2 linked regions of the Sus scrofa genome follow. The protein of the gene in region 1 interacts with the protein of each later gene in a biochemical or structural test. Links are inferred from orthologs where the notes say so. Each region holds a gene or a part of one and is shown on either strand. Other genes may lie near its edges.

Region 1 (4,201 bases):
ACTTCTGACCTATGCCACAGCCACAGCAGCGCCAGATCTGAGCCATGTATGCAACCTACAATGCAGCTCACAGCGATGCTGGATTCTTAACCTAGCCACTGAGTGAGGCCAGGGATTGAACTTGCATCCTTATGGGTACTAGTTGAGTTTGTTACCACTGAGCCACAACGGGAACTCCCTTACTCCAGCTTTAAGTGGCTCTCGTATTAGACTTCGTAGTTAAGCTATCTTTAATGGCACGATTAAGAGGTTTTGATCATTATTCTTTTTGAGCTGAAACTGGCATCAGCCTTTTCAGATTAAACAGTTTCCTGGATCTGTGGGATGAACTAAGAATTGGCTGCACAGGTTTGAAGATCCATTTTCAGTAGCTTTATCTTAATATTCTTTAAAAATGGATAACTCCTGAAATGTTTATTTTCAGCCGGACTCTTACATGTAAACCATCAGAGAGTCCGTCCCTGGGAAAAGATCCTTGACTTGACACTGGGACTACATTCATTCAATTTAAATGAAATCAAATGAGATAATGTATGTGAAGCAGGAGCTGAGGGCATCATATATAGTCAATGTATAGTAAATACTGGCTGTAATTGAAGTGGTGGTATTATCATGATTATCTCTTCCCAGCATAGTGTCTGAACTTAATAGTACCTAGTAGTGTGCAATGCATATTTATCATAGAAGGAATGAAATGTGTGTCTGCCTGCTTCTTTTCTTTTCCTCCCCGCATTAAATGCTTGTCTGCTCTTATAGCTGGGGGAAAAGCTGACATCAAAATTGGCTTGCTGCGAAGTTTCTCAGCCCCATTTGTCACCTTACCCTCAGAGCCCAATTGTATGTCAACGCCATGTCCCCTCGGATGCCTGCCAGTGAGGGAACGACCACAGGTCACTTCGCTATGATCTGCTTTAGCTGCCAAGGCTCTGGTCAGCCTTGGCTGATGGATGGGTGCCTCGCTGTTGGAAATGTCTCCATGGGGCCTCTCAGGAAATATGCCCGTGCTGTATTTTCTGGGTGGCATCTAGCACTTGACAGTAAGAAACATGGAACATCAAGAGTGGAGTTTTGCTTTTCTTGAAAATCCAGAGTTTTAAAGACCTGCTTTGTGTCACCTAGTTTGAGTTTTGCAAATAAGACCTCTCATCCTCTTTGGCAATGGACCCTCTTAATGTTTTTCCCTCCCTAATCTATACCTTTAACCGAGTGGTTATTCTGAACGTTCTCTTCCCTTGATTTGCAGCGCTCGGAAGAACTGAATGAAATGTGCAGCTGTCGGTGTCATTTCTGAAGGGAGGACTCGTTTTCTTGGAGAAGAGGCCTCAATGAGCCTGGCCGAGGCCCAGGATCTGTGTGAAGTGGACTAAGGATTTAGTAGGATGTCAACTGAGACAGAACTTCAAGTAGCTGTGAAAACCAGCGCCAAGAAAGACTCCAGAAAGAAAGGTAGGGCTCAAGCTGTTCCTATCCTAATATCTACTCTTGTGTAGGAATGAGGTTTTTTGGTCCCTGGAATGGCATTTGGGGGACTATCTTTGTGATTGCTTATGTTTGTTTGTTTTAATAGCACCATTATTGGGTGTTTTTTGTATGCACAGTATCGTATTTTAAAGGTCCTTCCTAATTCTCTTGGTAAAATCCAAAGTTCTTTTCAGCATATACAAAGCCCTTCTTGACATGTCTTCTACTCATCCCCCCCCCAAGCAACATCTGTGTCTGCATTCACGCCCCATCTCCATCTAACCCTGTTCACCCGCCGGGCATTCTGTGCTTTGTAGTTCCTCTTTGCATATACCAGTGATTCTCAAACTCTACCTGCACCAGCATCACCTGGAAGGCTTGTTAAAACAGAGATTGCTGAGTCTCATTCCCAGAAATTTGGGTTCTCTGGGTCTGTGGTAGGGCCCAAGTTTCATCTACAACACATTCCCAGATGATGCTGATGCTGGTGGTTCAGAGTCCAGACTTTGAGAACCACTGGACTCTCAATCCGTCTGTGGCTCTCTGCTATTTCCTAGACTGACTTCTGCCTATTCTTTAGTTTTGAGCTTAGTAGGACTTCCTGGAGGGCCAGGCCTTTCCTTAACCCCAAATGGGATTAGTTTCTCTTTGTTTGTTTTGTTTCGTTAGCACTTTGTTGGTAGCTAACTTTATTAATAATGTCGTCTTTGTGTTTGTTAGCCATACTATATAGTCCTTGAGAGCTGGATCTCTTGTTGACCCTTTTAACTCCCATCAATTAGAAAGTGCTTGACACATGGGAGTTCCTCTAGTGGCTCAGTGGGTTAAGAACTGGACGCTGTCTTGTGAGGATGCATGTTTGATCCTTAGCCTTGCTCATTGGGTTAAGGATGCAGTGTAGGTTACAGATGTGGCCCGGATCTGGTGGTGCAGTGGCTGTGGTGTAGGCCAGCAGCTGCAGCTCCGATTTGACCCTTGGCAGCTTTCATATGCTGCAGGTGTGGCTATAAAATAAAAAAAATAAAATAAAAAAAAAAAAAAGGAAAGAACGTGCTTGACACAGAGGAGGCACATAGGTGTTTAGTAATGAAGACTGGCATGCATGGTGTGATAATTAAGTAATTGTATCAGTATTCGTGGGTTTTGGAGAATTTGGTCCTATGGCTTTATGACTATGTCTTTCTTTAAGTTTATCCCCTTATAACTAGAGATAAGCAACTTCTTACTCTGTGTGTGTGTGTGTGTGCACGTGCGTGTGCACATGTGTGGTGTTGTGTGTTTTCTCCCTGCAGTTTCAGCTGTTTCCCTCCCCTTCAAAAAATGTGTGGGATAGAATTAATAGAGCTCTCTTCCAGGTCATGAAATCTGTCAGTCTGGGCCTGAAAACTGGATGCCATTGGTTGCTTTGTAGAGGCTGTGATTTGTTTGAGACATTGCTGTGCGTGCCCAGTCGTGTTTCCTGATGGCATCTGTCTGACACTCCATAGGAAGAAAGGGACATAAATGTAATACATATGCAGCTCTTGGGCAGTCGGAACCCCAGAAAGGACTATAAATTTTGCTTCAGATGTTTATTTGAAACACAAATATTTTCGAAGCAGTCTATTTTATCCCTATAACCTAATGTAAACCTTGTTTTTTATGCATCATGGTCTAAGAATAATAGAAGGAAAGCAAGTGGGTGATAGACTAGGTCTTGGGAGAAATGCTACGTGGGAAAAAAATTAAAAAAAAAAAAGATTGCAGAGCCCAGTATGTACTGGAATTCAAATGCATTTTCACTGGAAACTGACAAGTTATATTCTTGCTTCAAAGTTAATCTTTCCACTAAACTTGTGCTCTTGAATGCTTAATGCATCGAAAATTGTACTTAGTGCATATCTTTTCCTTCTTAAATTTAGCATGCAAAACCAGAAACATTTTAAATAGAGGATTCAGGTTTTCGGAACATTGACTTGGTTGAGGATTTGGAATGGGGCTATGAAGGTGACCTTTTAAACTCTTCCTCATCTCCACATTCTTAGTAGCTCTAATATCAGCACAATATCTATGTAAGGAGTGTCCTCAAATGAGTGGGTAATACCATGGAGTCTAGACAGCCAGACCTGGGTTCAAATTCTGTCTATGTCACTTCCTAAGTATGGTGACCTTAGAATTTTACTTCACCACTCTGAGCTTGTTTCCTTTCCTATAAAATGAGGAAATGATATTATAAAGTTCAAAGGCTCACTCGGATGATTAATTGAAAAAAGGCAAATACAACTTAGTATAGAACTTGGCATATATTAAAAACTCAACAAGGAGTTCTCGTGTGGCTCAGTGGTCAATGAACCCGACTAGGAACCATGAGGTCGGGGTTCTATCCCTGGACTCGCTCAGTGGGTTAAGGATGCAGTGTTGCTGTGAGCTGTGGTGTAGGTGGCAGACGCAGCTTGGATCCAGCATTGCTGTGGCTGTGGTGTAGGCTGGCAGCTACAGCTCCGATTTGATCCCTAGCCTGGGAACCTCCATATGCCATGGGTGTGGCCCTAAAAAGCAAAAAAAAAAAAAAAAGAAAGAAAAAAAAAAGAAAAAGAAAAAACCTCAACAAAGCTTTATCTGTGTTCCTCCTCTTCCTCTCCCCCTTTCCTTTCCCCTCCTCCTTTTCTCCTTACTTCTCATCATCTCCTATTTTGGCATCTTTCTCCATCTTTCCCTCCTCTCCTTTCTTTTTCCTATTTTTCCTCTATTTCCCTCCCTC
Region 2 (4,308 bases), about 3.9 Mb from region 1:
AGAAGGGTATCAGGACCACGGGAGTTGTACCTGGAGGTTCTCCCTGGAGTAGAGAAGCCACATGTCTGTCTTTGTGCTGAGTAAGTTTCCAGAACCTTTGGCCTAGAAAGGTAACTGTGGCCATTCAATTCTCATGGATCCATTTCAGTAAACACTGTATGCCAGGCATGTGCCAAGTACCACCTTAGATACCAAGCATTCAAAAGTAAAGAAGGGATGTACTTGTGCCCAAGGAGCTGGTGGGGGAGTTCGAGTCACTTGCTATTGCACAGCTGGGTGCTAAGTGCCCTGGTGGAAGCTCAGGAGGCCCTACTTCTAGAAAGCTGGTGCTGGCTTCTTTGTTCTGCCCCCACCTCTCTGTGTCACAGCACCTGTCACACTGTAGGCCACTTGTCTTTTTATTCATTGGTCTCCCCACTAGACCGTGAGCTCCTTGAGGGCAGGACTGTCTGACTGATCTGTTTCCCTGGTGCCTGGCACCACAGAGCCAGCTCCCAGTAACTACTGGTTGAACAAAGGCTATGGACCCATCAGTAAGGGAGCTGTTAAGTCTGTTTGGGAAATCAGGCAGGAGTGCCATCCAGAGGAGGTGACAGGTGACAGACTGAAAGATTAAATGACATTGGGATTACATTAGGGCCAGCTGGAGAAAGCTAGCAGTTTCCACATGGAGGAGGAGCCAGATGGCATTTCAGAAAGAAGCGCGTGCAAAGGCTGAGAGGCACGACGGGGCAGGGCCTGTTGGGGGTGCAAGGACCACAGAGTGGCTGAAACAGATGTCATGGTTGTGCAGCAGAGTCGGGGCTGTGTGTGACCTCATAGGTCATCCAGTCCATCCCCCTGTCAGGCAATCAGCAGCTTTGATCACCCACTGTGGGCAGAGCCCTGTCTTGGGGAGACCAGAGAACTGGAAGACCCAGCCCCTGCCCTCAAGGAGCTTTTTGTCTTGCCGGGAGAACCAAGGTCACAGCCGCACCAACTCCCGAAGAACTCTCTTTCCGAGCTGCCTGTCGTCAAGTGCAAGGTAGGGCAGTGCCACTCGGAGTCCGAGGGGCTGATGAGTGAGGGCGTGAACCAGGCAGCTGCAGCCCATCCTAGAAGGCTTTCTGCTTCTGGAAGGCTGCAGATTGTGAGCCGGGTGTCGGGGCAAAGAGGAAGGATGGGTTCGTTGCTGCCCGAGGAGATGGCATGTGGAAGAATCAACGGAGGATGGGGCAGGGCAGACCGCTGCCGCTGATGCTCACTGCTGGTCAAGGGGAGACGTGGGGAATGAGGTTGGGTGAGTGAGCAGGGTTAGCCGTCGGCCTTGAGGCTCCTGACCCTCGGCCCACCAAGCAAACCGGCGGAGCCCATTTTTTCCAGATCCGAGAGGGCAGTGGAAGGCATGTCGAGCTTGGAATAAGGAGAGGACTCCTGGGTTCACTCTTCCACAGCCCTGTGATCTAGTCCCTTCTCTCTGCTCACTTTTATTTGCCAAATGGGAAAAATAACCCCCATTATTCTCTCTGCCGCCTCCATTTCTGAAGTTCAAGAGAGATGGCACACGTGAGCTATAACGCCCTCTGCACGGGTACAGTGTGATTGTTCCAGAGAAGGGAACAACACTTGTGAGGAGCCATTCCTGATAAATCCAAGGCCTGAGGAACAGACTCCGCCAGCTGCAGAGAAATAGAGCAGGAGAGGGAGGAAGCCGGTGTTTAGTAAGAACCTACTGCGTATCAGACGCTGCTCTGTGTTTTATGGACATTTTCTTGTTTAGTCTTTACAGGAACCTATACAGTTGATATGATTAGCCCCATTTTGCAGATGAGGACACTGAGACTCAGAGAAATTGAATCATGTGCCTAGGATCACAACTAGGAAGGGGTAGAAGCAGGATTCTAATTCCTGTCTGTGTGTACACAAAAGCCCATGCTCTTTCCGCTGTATCTGGGGGTATACAGCCTTGAAGCTTTGGAGGTCAGTATTCTCAACAAGCTCTTCTGTCCCCTCTCCCCTTCTCAGGTAGCTCCACCGTCACTGCTGGGACCTGCCTTTGGCCTAGAGATCTGTCCTGGGGAGAGTGGGAGGGTAACTAAACTCTTAAGAAGGTAGTCTCAAGTGTCTGTGCTAGTGGAGCAAGGCCATGACACTGATGCGAAATCCCGAATCCAAAGATGATTTGAAAGGCAGTGGGGTTACTTTTGATTATTTGCAGAATGACCAGCGATGGAAGGTGCTAGTCTGGTTCTATTTTATGCCAGTTAGGTTGATGTAGAATACTCTGGACCCCATATGTGGGAGGTGTCATATTAAGCTCTCTACATACCTGATCTCATTTGACTTCCCAACAACCCCATGAGGTAGGTCCTGTTATTATTCCCATTGAACAGATGATGAAACCGAGGCTCAGAGAGGTGAAGTGCTTAGCCCAGATTCATGTAGCTATGAGAAAGATCTGGAAACAGTGGGGTCCCTCCAAAGGGGGGTATCCAGGAAATGGAGGAGCAGGATTGCATTAGGACCAGCTGGAGAAAGCTAGATGTGTTAACCTGGAGAAGAAAATACTCAGAAGCAAGGGAAGGAAACTCAAACACTAAAAAATTCAAAGTTGTCTGTGTAGAACTCTCTGAATCTAAGACGTGGAATCAGGGAACATCAGAAGATATAAAGTGGGAGTTCCCTGGTGGCTCAGTGGGTTAAGGACCTGGCATTGTCACTGCTGTGGCTTTGGTTACTGCAGTGGCACTGGTTTGATCTCTGGCCTGGGAAATTCTGTATGCCATAAATACACCCCCCCAAAAAAAAAGCTATAAAGAACATTTCATGTCAATATAGGAAAGAATTTTTTTTTGTCTTTTGTCTTCTTAGGGCCGCACCCGTGGCATATGGAGGTTCCCAGGCGAGGCATCGAAAAGGAGCTGTAGCTGCCATCCTACACCACAGTCACAGCAACACCAGATCCGAGCTGGGTCTGCGACCTGCACCACAGCTCAGGGCAATGCTGGATCCTTAATCTGTCGAGCAAGGCCAGGGATCGAACCCGCAACCTCATGGTTCCTAGTCGAATTCGTTTCCACTACGCCACAATGGGAACTCCGATATATAGGAAAGACCTTAAGTCCACTGTCCAAACAAATAGACTGGCTCAGGGGTTGTGGGATCACCATCTAGTGGTGAGCCATTTGTGGCAGAGGGAAGTCTAGTAGCTACAGTCTGGAAAGTAGGGGGCGAAGGAAAGCGGGGTGGAACTTCATTGACCTCCATTGCCTTCCAATTCTGCATAATGAGTTGGGAGGGGGTCCAGCCGATGACTTTCCTGATTGTGATTCGCGTGCTGGAGACAGGTAGCTATGGCCTGGGATTCCACATTCGCCAAAGTTAACCCACTGAAGTTGAGCAAACCTACAATCCTGAAAGGGAGGATGAAGGAAGATGCGATCTCTGCAGCCGTCCTCTTTATATAGAGGCAGACAGAACAAGATGATGAAAAAAGCTGCAGCTCTGGATTCACGCAAATCTGGGTTCAAACCAAGTTCACCCGCTTGCGGTGTGATCCAGGACAAATGCTGTTGAAGCTTCTTGAGTCTCAGCTTTCTCATCTGTGAAATAAATGTGACAAACCTGTCCTTTGAGGTAAAGAGGATGTGAGCTAATGCCTGTAAAGCAGTAGAATCTCTGGTACCTTCTGAGAACGCCATAGTCTAATGATGACTTCTTTGCTCTGTCTCCCCCAGCGAGTGGCATTAAGCCTTGAAGATGATGGACTGCCCTGAGGATGGGACCACTCCCTTCGTGCCTCCCGGAAATCAGTCCCATGCACTACCCTCGGGACGGTGTATGCCTGGATGGAAGGGTCCCTGTACATGAGTCTGTGTGTGTGTGTGTGTGTGTGTGTGTGTGTGTGTGTGTGTGTGTGTGATTTTTTTTTTAAATTTATGTTGCGGAAAGGTAACCACAAAGTTATGATGAACTGCAAACATCCAAAGGATGTGAGAGTTTTTATATGTATAATGTTTTATACACTTTTTAACTGGTTGCACTACCCATGAGGAATTCATGGAATAGCTACTGCTGAGGAACTAACATGATGACATAACCAAATGGGACCGATGGTACAGTAGCTCACTCATTTAAAAATTATATTGACAGAGGGTATTTGGTTTGGGGGGGGCGCTTTTTAGGTTTCGGAGTTTTGGTTTTTTGTAAATAGAATGATTATGCTTTGTGGCTATCCATCAAAAAAAAAAGAAAGAAAAAAGAAAAAACATTTCAACTCCCTCTCCCATTTAGATTATTTATTAACATCTTTCAAAAATAAGATTAGTT

Evidence for each region.
Region 2: the proteins of DAB1 (region 1) and LRP8 form a complex in vitro, tested with the Homo sapiens proteins (2 studies listed by BioGRID). The link is inferred for Sus scrofa from reciprocal best matches to the Homo sapiens genes DAB1 and LRP8.

The regions. Positions count from the first base shown.
Region 1 is NC_010448.4:155,083,196-155,087,396, forward strand, and holds the start of DAB1 (disabled homolog 1), read left to right. Parts: upstream 1-1,379; coding exon 1,380-1,446; intron 1,447-4,201. UniProt on the Homo sapiens protein: Signaling adapter of the reelin-mediated signaling pathway, which regulates the migration and differentiation of postmitotic neurons during brain development.
Region 2 is NC_010448.4:158,978,627-158,982,934, forward strand, and holds the end of LRP8 (low-density lipoprotein receptor-related protein 8 precursor), read left to right. Parts: intron 1-847; coding exon 848-1,024; coding exon of another isoform or gene 1,025-1,237; exon of another isoform or gene 1,238-2,773; intron 2,774-3,716; coding exon 3,717-3,755; downstream 3,756-4,308. UniProt on the Homo sapiens protein: Cell surface receptor for Reelin (RELN) and apolipoprotein E (apoE)-containing ligands. LRP8 participates in transmitting the extracellular Reelin signal to intracellular signaling processes, by binding to DAB1 on its cytoplasmic tail.